Alligator mississippiensis: one gene and its partner. Each later gene encodes a partner of the first gene's protein in a complex. Links are inferred from orthologs where the notes say so. Each region holds a gene or a part of one and is shown on either strand. Other genes may lie near its edges.

What was found. Proteins that work in one complex are often made in the same cells at the same time.
Region 2: the proteins of EIF2B2 (region 1) and EIF2B1 are in contact, whole or in part, in a cryo-EM structure (PDB 7F64), measured with the Homo sapiens proteins. The link is inferred for Alligator mississippiensis from reciprocal best matches to the Homo sapiens genes EIF2B2 and EIF2B1. Residues at the interface, in NP_055054.1 of Homo sapiens: Glu107, Ser108, Leu109, His110, Leu112, Leu113, Thr114, Ser115, Asn242, Phe278, Asn280, Glu281, Glu282, Ser334, Tyr337, Arg338; in NP_001405.1 of Homo sapiens: Leu71, Arg74, Phe75, Leu78, Arg96, Leu99, Phe100, Arg103, Lys110, Thr117, Phe118, Lys120, Ser232, Phe235, Leu283, Asp287, Leu288, Val290, Thr292, Ser294, Ala295, Asp298, Glu299, Leu300, Lys302, Leu303.

The regions. Positions count from the first base shown.
Region 1 is NC_081825.1:261,220,620-261,227,655, reverse strand, and holds the start of EIF2B2 (translation initiation factor eIF-2B subunit beta), read right to left. Parts: upstream 3,048-7,036; 5' UTR 2,983-3,047; coding exon 2,820-2,982; intron 2,347-2,819; coding exon 2,226-2,346; intron 1,556-2,225; coding exon 1,407-1,555; intron 213-1,406; coding exon 49-212; intron 1-48. UniProt on the Homo sapiens protein: Acts as a component of the translation initiation factor 2B (eIF2B) complex, which catalyzes the exchange of GDP for GTP on eukaryotic initiation factor 2 (eIF2) gamma subunit.
Region 2 is NC_081833.1:5,958,606-5,965,947, forward strand, and holds the start of EIF2B1 (translation initiation factor eIF-2B subunit alpha), read right to left. Parts: upstream 3,087-7,342; 5' UTR 3,028-3,086; coding exon 3,003-3,027; intron 2,932-3,002; coding exon 2,830-2,931; intron 2,606-2,829; coding exon 2,469-2,605; intron 2,395-2,468; coding exon 2,278-2,394; intron 1,455-2,277; coding exon 1,342-1,454; intron 157-1,341; coding exon 88-156; intron 1-87. Other genes in the region: GTF2H3 (general transcription factor IIH subunit 3), read left to right, coding at 3,181-3,333, 4,186-4,292, 4,900-5,063, 5,407-5,469, 5,800-5,829, 6,619-6,647, 6,737-6,811, 7,266-7,319.

The DNA.
Region 1 (7,036 bases):
CACTGCCCAGCCCAGCTGAGCTGAGGGGATTAGCAAGCAGGGTCTTACCTGGCAGAAGGGTGCACACTCCGCCACAATCACTTGGAATTTCCGCTTGCGCGCTGCCTCTTTCAAGAAGGCTTCCACGGTGTGAGAGTAGCCAATGGTCATGATCACCTCATTGGAGTGGATGTGCTCCAATGCCTGCATTGCAATGTTCTCCGTTGTGCCCTCTGCAAAGGAAGGAAGCCAGCAGGAAGAGGAATGTCAGGACCATTAACTGCCATGCTGAAACCAGCACCAGACCAATGCCAACAGGAAAAAAGGACACAAGCCCACAGCCACTTAAGTATGCCCTGAATCATCGCCACATGAGTAAAAACCCCCACACATTTTAGAGCTTGGGTCTGACAGCACAGCATCCTTTCATCTACCATCCCTTGAGGAGAAGGAACAGTGTCTCTTGCCCCAACAGGGGCTCCTGGTTACCTAATTCGGCAATTGCGCTATCCCCAAGCCAGGCTCTACATCACATCACCCTTAGTTCAGGCAGCAACACTGGCCTTTGTGCAGCAAGAACTGCTCAACTTCCTGTGGCCTTCATCTAGAACCCAGGCAGATCCTTGTTACATGCCCTTGAAGCAAAATGGAGACAAAGCACCCTGACTTTCACAGGCCCTCTGCCTACTCAGGGAAATGGGATGTGTTGAAAAGTCTCATAACTAGGGGAGTGAAAAGGATAGCACCAGCTCCAGCATCAGTCCCAGCCTAAATGGCTGCCCAGTCCACAAGCTGCCTCCTGGTAGCAAAGGGAGATTTGTGAGGCAATCACAGCCTGCCAGCACTAAGAGGGGAGACCAGGCAGTATGGCTGGCCCCAGCAGTGATGACCTGTGAATAAAGACAACGTGATGGGCAGAGCAGGGTCTGAGAGGCTCCTAGGAAGTGGGTGCTTTGGAGGCAATCCACTGCAGCAACTCCTCTTGGCTGTCTCCAGAGCTGCATGCTTGGCTGCAGGGACCATCCCTACACAGTGCAATAGCAAGGGAAGGAGCATAGTTCATTCAGTCTCTGTGAGGCCATGCTGTCCTGAGCACAGCAGAACTCAACCTCAGGCACTACATGCAGGCAAGATTTTATGTTCCTGCAGACAGGGTTTTGCTCAGATCTTCCCATGGGCACAGGTGGGAAGAATCTCACCTGTCAACACCTCACAGGTCCCTCACTGTTCCACTCTTTCCTTAGGACTAGATGTGCGCAGATTCTAGGACACACCTCACCTGCAAGACAGAGCCTCACAGCTCCCCGCAGTGCCCACGCGAGCTGGGAACTGGGTCTCCCCCTACTTCTCCTTCCCTTCCCCGTCATCCCATGAGCAAGCCACTCCAGTCCCATCCTGGAATGGGAAAGTCCTTCTGCATTGCATACCCAGCTCTATCAGCAGCTCATTGATAGCTTCAATCACGTTAGCCCTGAGTGGGGCGAAGGGGGTGTTGAAGTCCTCACTGAGTCCCCCAGAGGTCAGAAGCTTGTGCAAAGATTCCTGCTGGTCACTCTCCTCACTGCGCCCACGGAGCCTGCAGAGAGAACATGGCCATAAGACTAGGATGGGAGCAGGACAAACCAACTAACCTGACAAAAACTTTCAGGAGAAGCTGATTTGAACCATGCTGTCCCCATAGGACCAAGAACCAGCAAGCCTGATTACTGGGAGCATTGAAGAAGGGAGCTGCACCCACTCTCTCACACAGCTCCCCAACTGCACAGTCACCTGAGACTTTGCCAATAAGCCATACCCTCTGAAAGCTCAGTGAGCCAGCTCCGACAGCTGCAGCAGGCACAGGGAAGGGCCTTGCGCAAGGCTGCTGTGTCACCCAGAAAACTCCCCTGCATTTTACTAAGTGGGGAGAGAAGTGTCAGATCACAGCATTCAGGAGTTTGCACGGCAGCAACATCTACACTGAACAGAGCTTTGAGTGGAGATGTAGTCAGTGACTGGGGAACCATAGGGCTTGCTGGTGTTACCAATGGTCTCACAAGAGGAACTTGGTAGGTTCACCCTTAAAAGGAAAAGACTTTGGGAGGAGGGAGGGTGGAGATGTGCATCTTGTTTGGACACCTGAACGGGTCCTGCAAAAGCAGAAGGAAGAGAGGATGGTGCCCCTCAGGTCCACAGGACACTGTCAGCTCCTCTCCCAGGTTGACTATGGGGAAGATGCACAGGTGATGGGGGTGCAAGGACTTCACCTGCCATACTCCTCCCTAATGATCTTCAGCACTCGCCGCACCATGTTGCCCACCGTGGTCTCCGATGGCTGGGCTGCTGTCATCCTCTGGCCCTCCTTCCGAATGAGGCCCATCAGCTCCCCTGAAACGAGGGCACAGCTACGTGGTCACCAGGCCGCAGCCTCATGCAGCTCCACAGCTGCTGGCCCCAACACCAGCCTCCAGCTCACCCACCCTTGAAGCAGCTCTACAGCCACCAGGCCCAGCCCGTGCCAGGATCTCCAGCAAACCGATGGGGCAAGTGCTGAGAAAATAAAAGAAAGCCTTTGGCCCCGGACAGCAACGGAGTCAAAATGAGCAGGGTGCGCCAGCCTGCCGGGCTCCCGGACCCTGCGGGGCTGCAGCTGAGCAAGATACCTCGCACCGCCTCTGGCCAACTCCTACTGCATGTCTGCCTCGTGGGCTGGACGGGCAGTGCCGGGGCCGGATCCGGATCCGGCCCGTGAAGCGCTGCCGCCCGGCCCTGCCTTGGCTGCGAGAGAAGGGGGCAGGATCCCGCCCCGTCGGGGGGGAAAGGGCCTAGGCCCAAGAGAGGCGCCGGGCCGGGGCTCTCACCAGCTTTGCCCCAGCGGCCGCGGGCGATGATCTTGCGCAGCAGTCCCAGCGTCTGCCGTGCCGTCTCCTCGGAGCGTGGCCGCTGCCCGCCCCGCTTCAGCCGCGCCACGAAGGCCTCGATCTGTTCCGACAGCTCCAACTCCTTCTCGGCCGCGCCCGGCATCTTGGCAGCTGAGGCGGCGGAACCACGAAACCACGTCTGCTACCCCTACCCGGATCCTGCTGAGAACGGACCACTTCCGCTTCCGACCAGTCCCACCCTCCCATTGGCTGAGGAAGCCCCGGTCAGCCAATCCGGAGACCGTCTCTCGCGCCGGCGCGGGACGCTTGAGCGGGTTCGATGATGTGTCACGTTTCGAACTCTGGCTTAGCCCCGCCTACCCCGCCCCCCCGGTGTCCTCCAGCGGTGGCGGTGGCGGTGGCGCTGGCGCTGGGAGCGGCCCGTGCTCGGCGCTGCGGGTTCAGTCGCCGCCAGCGGGACCCGCCGGGCTGGGGGCTCGCGGGGGCGGGGGCAGCGCCCCGGCTCCGGCCGCGCCAGTTCTCAGGGCCTCCGTGCGGTTTCCCTCCCGCCCCCCGGCCACCCGCGGGAGCCAGCCGTGATCCCACGGCTCCTGGCTGCAGCGTCCGGGGGAGACATTCCGCGCTGCGGGCTGGCCGGGCTCTGCCCGTGCCCTCGTGGCAGCCCGATTTGTCCCTGGTTCCCTCGGGGCCGCGGAGGCGATGCCGCCTGGAGCCGCTTCCAGCCTGTCCGCCTGCGTCTGCCGGCTCGGAGTCCCAGGCTCCGGCTGCAATAACAAGGCATTTGCGCTCAGCACCCCCGCCCCTCCGCCCCGGTTGTTGTTTCAGCTGGGCCGGGGTGGGAGCAGCAGTGGGAAGAAAAATCTCCAGGGCAAACGGCCTGAGAAAGCCCAGCTGGTGGCTTCCCAGGGAGGACAAGCGGGGCCTCGGCATTAGCCGTTCCTGTCCCTCGGAGGGGTACGAGCTGCAGCCCCGTCCCCACACCCCAGCCCTTCATGTGGGCGCCTGCCTCCGGTTGTCTAGGGTGCGTTGCTGCAGCCTCCCACAGTGCTGAAGCAGCAGGTGAGAAATCGCTGCTCCTGCTTCCCAGGCAAGAAGTGCCTTGCCGAGGTCATGCTGGGCTTGAGCCAGCACCTTCACCCCACGGTTTTGGCAGCCTGTTTCTACAGAGCTCTTGCTAGGTGGCTGGAAGGGGCCACCCAGCGTGATGCTGGCAGCAGGTAGCTGTGGGTGGCTGCAGCCAGGAGGCACTGTTCCCATTGTACTTGCCCTGCAGCTGGGAGCGCCTCCCAGGCTGCTCCATGGTGGAACAAAGGGGACGAAGCAGGGATTCCCACTTAGTCCTGTTGGAAAGTGTGGAGTCCGCCCTTGTGAGGGAAATGGTGAGTGCTGGCAGGTTTGAGGAATGGAATGGGTTGGCCTCTGGCAGAGACCCTGCATGTACCCTAGGCTGCCCTGACCACTGAGGCCCACAAGGCTCCATCCCAAAAGGCATCCTAGTGGCAGATGCAGATAAATGAACCTGGATCACATGAGCAGGCAGCTGGGTCTGGGCAGCTAGTGGAAGAGACGTGGCTGCCCTCTCACGAGCGGATCCCACCTGCTGTCGTGTCCTGGGCCTTGAGTTGCCTCTTGTTGGGGAAATTCCCCTTCTGCAATGAGGTGCCACATGTGGAGTGTGAGATGGGGCGTGAGAGGGAAAAATTATTTTGCCCTAAGTAAGTGAAGCAGCTGGTTGTAGAGAAGGCAGTTGCATCTATAGGGAGAGTATGTGGTTTGTGCCATGCCACAGGTGTTTGTACCATGGGGGGCTGGGCATGTGGGGAGCAGCAGGAAGAGTCTGTACAAGGAGACGGAGAGTGTGACTGAGCTGGAGCCTGTGCTGGGAGGGAAGGGGAGGTTTGCGCGGCACAGCAGCAGGAGTCTGGTGTGGGGCACATAGCATTTACTTTGGACAGTGCAATATTGTAGAAGCTTAGAGCCAAAGCAAATGGGTGGGGAAAGGAGCAGCTCCTGGCAGCTTTGCTGTCCTTGCTGGTGAAGCCAAAACCTACCCAGCATAAGACAGGAATGTTACTCCTTTGTTTCCAGTTGTGGGAGTGTGGAGTCCACATCTCGGGCAGTCGCAGCAGCACAGTTCTCATCCCAACGCCATTCCACTCCCAGGCCCCACCTCTGGTCATTAGCTTATGAAAACCAAACCATGTGGGTCTGTGCTAGAAGCATCCAGGAAACGCTGGCCAGGGACCCCCTGGATGTTCATTACTTCCAATTCACGCTTCTCTGGTCCCATTATGATTTGTTTCCCTACCAGCTTCCTACACAGTGTCTGGGGCTAGGGCAAATGACACCAAGGCATAGGGTGGAGCAGAGCTTGAGAGGCTGTGTAACAGGATGATTAATCACTTAGAGCATCCAGACTTGCTACTTTTCACTGTCTAACAGCCCCCCCCCCCCCCTCCCACAGAGCTTCTGAGGGCCTAGAAGTCATCCTTGAAGGGAAAGGGGGAACACTGAGATGCCCAGAAGAACAGGCCTTTGAGCCAGGAATCTGTGCTGGAGTAGACTGGCCTGGCCACCCTAGCTTGGGCAGTATACAGGGTTCCACACTCAGGTCAGGCAATGGGGTGGAGGGAAGCACTGGCCTCCCAATGGGTTTTTTCTCTGGGTGGGGATTTGGGGCCTCATTCCAGAAGCACCTGGAGTCTCTGCAGGCACCCCAGATACTCCATGCTGCTGTGACTGAGCCTGGCTTGACAACCTCCTTCATATGCCTATAGAGAGTACACCCCCTCCCCCCCAATGCAGAGCCCCTCCCTCACCTCTCTCCCCACCCAAGGGAGTCCTGAGGTAGACCCCACCTTTTGCAGTAGGAGCCATGTATGCTGGGAAAAGCTGTATGGCCTGCCTGCAGCCTCAATTGGCTCAGGGAATTGCTTTGACTGGTTGGTGCATGCATGTATGTGCATGCACATGTGTATGCATACACCTGAGCATTTAGGCTTGGCTGGGTCTGTGCGGGGGTGCCAGGCTGGTTCTAGGTGAGGGCTTGGGATCCTCTTTGGCCCCCTGCCTACAAGCAATCACTTTCATTAATAAAATGGGGTTAAATTAAAGTCTTTGTTCTACCTGGCACTTGGCTTAGGCTGTATCAGCTTTTTGCCCAGAGATGAGCAAGGGCATTTTGTGTCCAAAAGCTTGTCTAACATCTCTCCCAGCTATAGTATTGCTCATAAATCCTGTTTGTCCAGTATTCCCTGAGCCATCACAGCTACAGGAACCCAACAACCTTGCCTCAGTGTCATCTATGGCTGCCCCAAGCACTTGTGAAATGCTAATTATACAGGTGAAAATAGTTACACGTGCCAGCAGCCATGCTGAGCCCCTGTGCATCATGCCAAATGCATCTGTTTGCTGCTGGTGCCTGTTTCCTGTAGCTGTCTGTGTCCTCTTGTCTTACACTTAACTTCGAAGCTCCCTGGAGGGGATCATCTTTCTGGTCTGTGTTTGTACAGTGCTAGTGCAATGGGCCCCTAGACGACGCTGCAATCCCATCCATGAATATCAACGCCAGGTGTGGGGCTGGACTGAGCCAGGCCTGCTGCGTCCAGGCATGAGCGAATGTCTCCAAGCGCCTGTCTCTGCCCATGTGTGTCAGCACCTGTCTTGGTTTCTTTGCATGCCTGTCTGGGCCTGCCTGGCTCTGCAGACTCTGTGTGCCGATCAGTGCTGATGTGCATCTGTGAACGCAGGCTGGGCCCTGAGCACATGGTAATGTGGTCAAAGAGCCTAGCTTTGGTGCTTTCCTCTGTTTGTTTAGTTTTCTCTGTACTAAACAGTGCAGCCCTAGGGATTAGGGAACAGGGAGCCAGAGGAAAAGAAACCGGACTCTGAGGTTATGACCTCCTGGTGGATGCTGTGGTGTTTACATTCCTCTGCCTCAGTCTCACAACTACTACAGGGCAGCAGCTTCTCAGAGTCTTGCTGGGGGAGGCTGGGTCAGCAGTAGTTGGGAGCTCCCTCACCAGCAGATGCTTCTGTCTTCTTCCCCTGCTGGAAACTCCCTCTCAACCAGTGATCCTACCGTCTCTGCACAGTCCCTCCTGCTGGGAGCTTTCCCCCTGGGTTCCTTACAGACCCTCCAGAGCCAAGAGGTTTGGTGTTGCCTGCTGTTAGCCAGGGCCAGAGCAGACATCTGG
Region 2 (7,342 bases), on another chromosome or scaffold:
TGGAAAGTTCACAGGCATTGTTCCTAAAATGAGATCTAGAAGAACAAGAGATTTCCTAATATCTATGAAGGTAATGAATAAGCTTACCCTACAGCAGCATCCAGAATCACGGTAACAGGGATGTTCAACTTGCTGAGTGCCTTTGCCATTTTTTGCCTATGAAAATAATGTTTATGAAGTTGAAAAGGCTTTCTTGGAAGACAGTGCTGGTGAAATACAATTAATATAGTTGAAGTACTATATGAAAGACTGAAATCTAACTGTGGGTCTCTACCTTCCCACATCCTCCTTCCTCTGTACATGCAATCATTCTGCTTTAAAGAAGTAAGTTGTGTGATAATACACAACAGGTGAGAACCAAAAAGGGAATTAGTTGACTGTAAGGGAGATAATAAATAGACCATATACAGAGTAAGGTGCAAGATTCCTCACTAATCATTCAGCTTAAACAGCTGTAGGCATCACACATAAGTTGCACACAATTTAAGTCAGGGGTGTCAAACATGCAGCCTACAGCAGGTAGAATTGGTCTGCAATAGGAGCTGGACCTGATGTCATGGGATTTACACAGGGGTCACTCTGGGGCATAAGCTGTATGCAGCACCTGCATCAGAACAACCCTGTGCACTGGCTCTGGGACCAGTCCAGATGGGGCAGCGCTGGAGTCAGTATGCAGGGCTGGCCCTCTGTGCCATGTGGTGTGCCTATGGACCAGGTATAGCCTGTGCACCATGTGCCAGCCCTGCTCTGGGGCTCGTGCTGCTTGTGGTGTGCAGGCTGAACCCAGTGCTGTAAGCACTGCCTGTTGCAGAGGAGGCTGGCACAGAGTATGCACCATATGCATTACTCCACTGGACAGTTCTCCACGCTCGCTGAAGGATGCACAAATGGCCTGGGGCCTGACCCCAACTAGCCCTGGAGCCAGCACTTGGGGCTGGTCTGGTGGGGTGCCACATGCAGCTGAATACTTTATGATGCTGATGGTTACAAGAATCACTGCTTCAGGTTTTTCTGGTTTTTTTTTAACTGACATCTTAAATTGACTGCACCACTGCAAGCAACCACCCAAGCCAGAAATCTGTTTGCATAGCAATGGTTAATTTTTAAAGTTCTGGTAAATTTTCTGCAAACATTAGTGATGTTGGAATTGCTTCTTGCAGTTCTTACTGAAGTGTGTTTATACATTTCCTCTCAAGGAGGACATAATGTTTTGTCAGAGCAGTTGTTGCCTTTTAGCAGCATTTAAAAAAAAGGGGAAAAGCTTCTTCCTGATAAAATGAGAACTGACCTTAAAACTAACTTCTTTTACTAATCAAGAAGAGAGTAGTGACAAGTACTTGCCCTGCTTGATCTGGCTGTGATTCTGTAACGTAAACTCTGAAACGCTTCTTTGACTCTGCAGCTGCTTCTAGCACTCTGAGGACCACTCTTGAATAGGCATGGGTTAATATTCGCTGTCAAAAGGAGAGATGGAGTTTCAGGAAAGCCTGGCTGTTAGGATTTCTTGTGCTACTTTACTATGCACAGGTATTTTAAAGCATTGGTTTCAGTTACAGGTTTCCCTTGCCAACCATGGTTTTAAGTATTCATGCTTAATATTCTATACACCATTTTGGCTACCACAGTATACAGTTCTGAGTCACCATGGTTTTCCGTGGCTGTGCATCAGCCTGCCACCTGCCATTTTTCCCATAAGCCTTTTGTCTTGCCAACCGCGGGAACTTTCAGGAACCTAACCCCAGCGGTTGGCAAGGGAAACCTGTACTTGAGGTGCCTACTGAGATTTTTATAAAAAGTGAGCATTTTACGAGTTAGAAATAGAGCTTAATGGTAGGTTTCCCAGAAGTGTTTTTACAGCGCACGGCACGTCAAGTCATTGCATAAACCTTGACTTTTTTTAACTGATGTCTTATTGCAAGCAACCACCCAAGAAACCCTGGCACTGAGAGGGACCGAGAAGTCACCGCTTCCAATGCTTGAATGAGACGATCTGGTTGTCAGCATCAGGCCAGAAGTTCAACCTCAGTTTGCGCAGAAACAAAGGTGGAGGGAGAGGACAGAGAAAGGGAGTCTTAGGAAACACAGGAAGATCTGAACTTGTGATGCAAACAAAAATACGATGATCAGGAAACTTTATTTCTCCTTACTTGAGAGAGCCCACATCAAATCATGCGATCACCCTGAACACAAGGGAGTAAGATTTGGTCACCCTCCCCTTCTGCCTCCTGCCCAAACAGCGGAGCCCCAGAACCGGTGCAGCGCCCGCGTTGCACTTACAGCACCGTCTTTGATGAACGGGTGGCAGAGCTTCGCGATTTTGTTTCTGGAAAGAGAGATTCTCCTGAGGAAGATCTCCCCTCGCTCGATCATGATCTCTTTGCACTTGGAGTAGTCCTGCAAAAAGCAGCGAGCATGGCGAGTGAGGGTTGGGAATCCCTTCCGCCGCGCCGGCGGCCGCGGGCTCTTACCGTGTACTCCAGCGAGGTGAGGCTGATGAACCGGAGGAAGAGCTCTCCCCCAGAGGAGACGGCCACTGAGGAGTCGACGCCTGAGAGCATTTCGATGGCGTTTTTGAGGTTTGCGCGGAAGCCCTGCATGGTCTCCTCTGAGAGAGGGAGAGAGGTGCGGTTTGGGCATCGCGGCGAGGGCACCGGCTGGCGCCCCGACGGCTCTGCCCCGCGCGCGCAGCCCTCCTCGGGGACATCACAGCTCCCCCCACCCACCCACCCACCCACCGCAGACCGATCCTGCACAACTGCACACGGTTCTCCTGCTCGAGAGCAGCTAGCACCGGCGCGGATACGCCCGGGGCGGGAGGGGGGCAGCCACCTGTGTCTCTCTTGAGGAACTCGAGCAGGGCGCGGATGGCGGCCACGGCCGAGGCCAGGTCCGGGTCATCCCTCGTCTGCGCCTTGAAGGCCTCGATCAGCGCTGCAAGGCAAAGGCGGGGTTCAGCGGCCTCCCGGGTCCCGCTCTCCCCCAGCCCCGCCGCGCCCCGCTACCTGCTCGGTCCATGGCTCCGCGCATCCCCTTGTGACACCAGGAGGGCGCCGGAAGTAGCGGGGGACGGTCATTGCGCGGCGCCGGAAGTGGCGGGCGGTGGGCGTCATCGCGCGGCGCCGGAAGTGGTGGTGGTGGTGGTGGTGGCGGCGGCGGTGGGGGGCGGGCGTGCCGGGCAGGATGAGCTTGGCCGGGGCGTGCCCCGTCCCCCGCGGCGCGGCCGTGCCCGGCCTCACGCCCGTTGCCTTCTCAGAGGACGAGCTGAGCCTGCTCGTGGCGGTCGTGGACGCCAACCCCATCTGGTGGGGGCAGAAGGCGCAGGGAGGCGGCGAGGTGAGAGGCAGCCCCCCGGGGGACGCGGCTGCGCCCTCAGCTCCTGCCCTCGCGTGTGCGGGCCCCAGGGCGCCCGTCGTGGGCTCCCGGCTGCGGAACGCTCCTTGGGTGGGTGGCTCGCTCGCAGCTGCAGTGCGGGGAGGTGGCCCCGGGGTCCGGCACCCCTTACCGGGACATCCCGTCTCAACAGGAATGGCGGTGTGCGCTGAAAGCGGGGCCGACAGCCTCTCCCCGCCTGCGGTCCAGTCGCTTATTCCACCCTTTACCATCCGCCCGTTAGTCGGGTGCTGCGGTTTGCTGCCTTCGGCCCCGGTTGTCAGGAGCGTGGAGCGCTCGAGCGTGTGCTTGGAGTCGCCAAAAGCTGCAGGGGCTCGGCACGGCTGAAGCGAGGCCGTGCTGTTCTTGGGTCGGGCGCCCCGGTCGCGTTAGGGGATGCACGGGTGTTTGAAACTCTGCTCGACTCATCTCTGTTGAACAGAGGAGACTTGAACAGAGATTCAAACACACATTCGTGCATCCCCTTACGCGACCGCGGCTCTCCTCTCCTCCCAGAGTTATTGTGAGCGAATAACTGATCTCTCTCGCTGTTTTTTGAAGATTTTGAGCCCTATCCACGTATGGTTCTAGTGCTACATATTTCTGGAGCGTCACTGATGCTTTCTGTCCTTCAGAGGGAATTTGCTGCCTCCTTTCAGCTTCTCACCTTTGTGAATATCGAACTCTGAGGAAGGCATTACTTTGAGGGAGTGCTTTGTTTAGCGTGTTTTTGTTTCAGATGGTGATGGTGCTAAACCACGTGTTTTCCTCGCTCCTTCACGCATTGCGCCTTGTCTTTTTCTGTTTTCCCAACAGTTTACGTTGTCAAAATGCCTGGATGCAGTGATGGTGATGGGGAATTCGCACTTGTTCATGAATCGCAACAACAGACTTGCTGTGATTGCAAGCCATACACAAGAAAGGTACGGTAACTTTTATGAATAGCATCACTACTGTTATAATTTCCCACCCACGTCTCTTGCCTGAATTTCTTGCTCGGTGTGTTGCAAAGAATAATTGGCATCAGATTTAAATATATAATGTTTAATTTAAATTTAGACCTATTTTAAATAGGCTTAAATACCCTATTAAAATGAGTGAAAACAGACAGGGAAGGGATTTGGGGACTAATACAGAAAAACAAGTGGAAAAACAGTATAGGTTTTTAAGGCTTTGGAGAAGTGGGGATTGCTGCACTAAAGGAACAAAAGGAGGTTGTTTTCCTGTCTGACCTTTCCATTCAAAGCTACTACTACTTTCTGATCTAAGAATAAGAAACGGGAGGTTGATCCCTGCATTCAGGTAGTGTCTGAAGACTAGTTCTCCTCAGAGTGTCTCTCAGAGAGCCTTTCCACCAGGACATCCTTACACTGCGTAGAGCTTTAAAAAGACTCCTTACTCCATGGTGACCATTGCTTAGAATGAAATGTCACCTTTGACTTTCACTTTCTATGAGCGGCTCAATTTGTGGTTGTAACTCAGTTGTTATTAAAGTAACAGGCAAATACTGTGTTGCTGGTTCTCTTTCAGTCGTTTCTTATACCCTGGAAAGCGCTGGGCATTTGCAGATCTCTTTGGAGATGGTGGCAGCTGTGTAGAATCTAATTGCGCTGGCAGCAAGGATGGAAAATACGAATTATTAACTGCAATAAATGAAACAATTGCAGAGGAGATTAAAGACCTCATGACAAAAAGTAAGATGATCTTCTGTTAAAGAATGTAGTGGTTTCTGTAGCATGCTTAGTTTTTAGTGCCATCAGATGAGGGGAAGTATTATTTTGAAATGTTATATGCAAAGGAAATGCTTCAGGAGATTATACTATATGATAGACTCTCCTTTGCTTCTGTCTTCTGAAGCTTATTCTCCCCTTTCATTATGAGAATGTGCTTAAGGCCAATGAGACGCTGAGAAGTTCAGCACTTTTAGAGCCAGCCTTTAATGTTTTGTCCAGGAAAAATTGATCGAATGAACTGTATGGCATTAGATAAGGGAATGACTTTATTCAATAACCAGTTCTGTGCATTTTTATATTACAGCTGACGTGAAGGGCCAACAAACAGAAACTTTATTGGCAGGATCAATTGCCAAAGCACTTTGTTGTATCCTTCCCATAACTTCCCATTTAGAATATCTTTCTCTTTAAAAAAATAAATACATGCGAAAATCTTTCTTGTGCTGGACCCATATTGCTACCAGAAACCTTGCACTCTCTTGGTAGTAGTCTTAACCCCAGTATGTTTTTGTTTTCAGTTCTGACTTCTGAATATCATAGCTTGAGAGCTGAACTTCTGGTAAAGTTGTGCATGTTGGTTAAACTGTTTATTGCAGGTATCATATTTCCTCTCTTTTGTTGTTTTAAACGACTTATACATCTGTTTCTCAAGTGTTCCTAGAATAAAATGTTATTTCCTGAATAAAAGCTAATACAGATATTCACAGGCTGACCAAGGAGGTAAAAGGTACTTTTTTCTGTTGTTTGCATATTTTTCTGAGTGTTAGAATTAAGAGGAGGAAAAAATGCAGAGCTTTTCTTAGCTGGCTATAGTGGAGAAGTAAGGGTTTGTCCCAATCTTTTACAGGTGTACAAATTGAATTTTGACTGCAGATTGGTAGACGAGGAAAGAACATGCAAGAATTGTATGGCTTTAGCAAACATGTTAGAACTTTAAAACCAAGCACAGAAGGTCAGCTCTAAGGAGAGGGAAATCTTTCCACATGTAGAGCAAAACTTTGAATTCGGCAGTTACAAAGTACTACACTACCGTCTACCCTTCAGATTCAAGTTTTATACTCAACAGTTTCAAAAATGAATTTGGATACTGCTGCTTGTATTCTGTGGCTTGATTATGTAAACCAGTCTTAAAGTAAACTCTCTATTTAGCTTTACAGAGAAGTGGTGTAAAGTACCATCAGAACAGCTTTAAAAACCTGTGATCCAGTCTCTGTTTGACCGAGTAAACTGACAGTGAACCACACTGAAATTGTCTTTGTTCTTCATCATCCAGTTGCTTTTTAGGAATGAATGTGACAGTATCCACTTTCACAGCAACTCTGAATTTATTCTGGTGACTTCTGCTAGAGGTTTAGCTTCATCTTCTCATATTTGGTCTTAGTATGACTAAAAACAGTCTCTTGCTTTCATTCAGGTGTTAAACTAAAATGTAGAATTAGGAGGACAGAATACTGGTGGTTAATCGCATACTTATGGGATACTAATGCATGTTTTTTTTTATGTCTCCAATATGTAGCCAACCAAGAAATAAAATCAAGAATTTTGGTAAGAACTTTTGCCTTCAGTTGTCTTAAACGGCTTTAAAATCCAGTAGTCTTGTCTGTGCAATAATGGTTGTTGTTTGCTTTATTCAGGTTATAAAAGCTGCAGAAGACAGTGCATTGCAGTATATGAATTTCATGAATGTGATCTTTGCAGCACAGAAACAGGTGAAGTTACTGTTTTATCAGGTGGTTAACTATTTGGGTATTTTTTTCAATATCAACACACTCAAACATAAAAAGATTGTCACTGTTGCATTATGTGCTTCTAGTTTATGGGATCTTTTGGGAGAGGTGAGCATCTTCACCCTCAGGGAGAAAGTGTTTGAGCTAAATGTAGGTGCATGTCATTGCACTATAACACAAAAAGGCTACCAGGTCTGCCCAAGATTGCTACTGAGGTCCAGACCCCACTTTCCTACATCTTATATATGTGGTACGTTGGATAAGCTTCAGCCATCAGTCCTTGCCTAGCCATTTGGTGGGGAGGAAGGCTGGAACATGCAATACACACTAGAGTTCAAGAGCTTCAATTTGGGTGTAAACTCAGGGCAGTAATTCTACTGGAGGGTTATTTTTTGTGCTGCTGTAATTGTGATTCTTTTAATCTTTTTGATTGCAGAATATTTTGATTGATGCCTGTGTTTTGGAGAACGATTCGGGGCTCCTACAGCAGGTACCATGTACATATTTGTATTG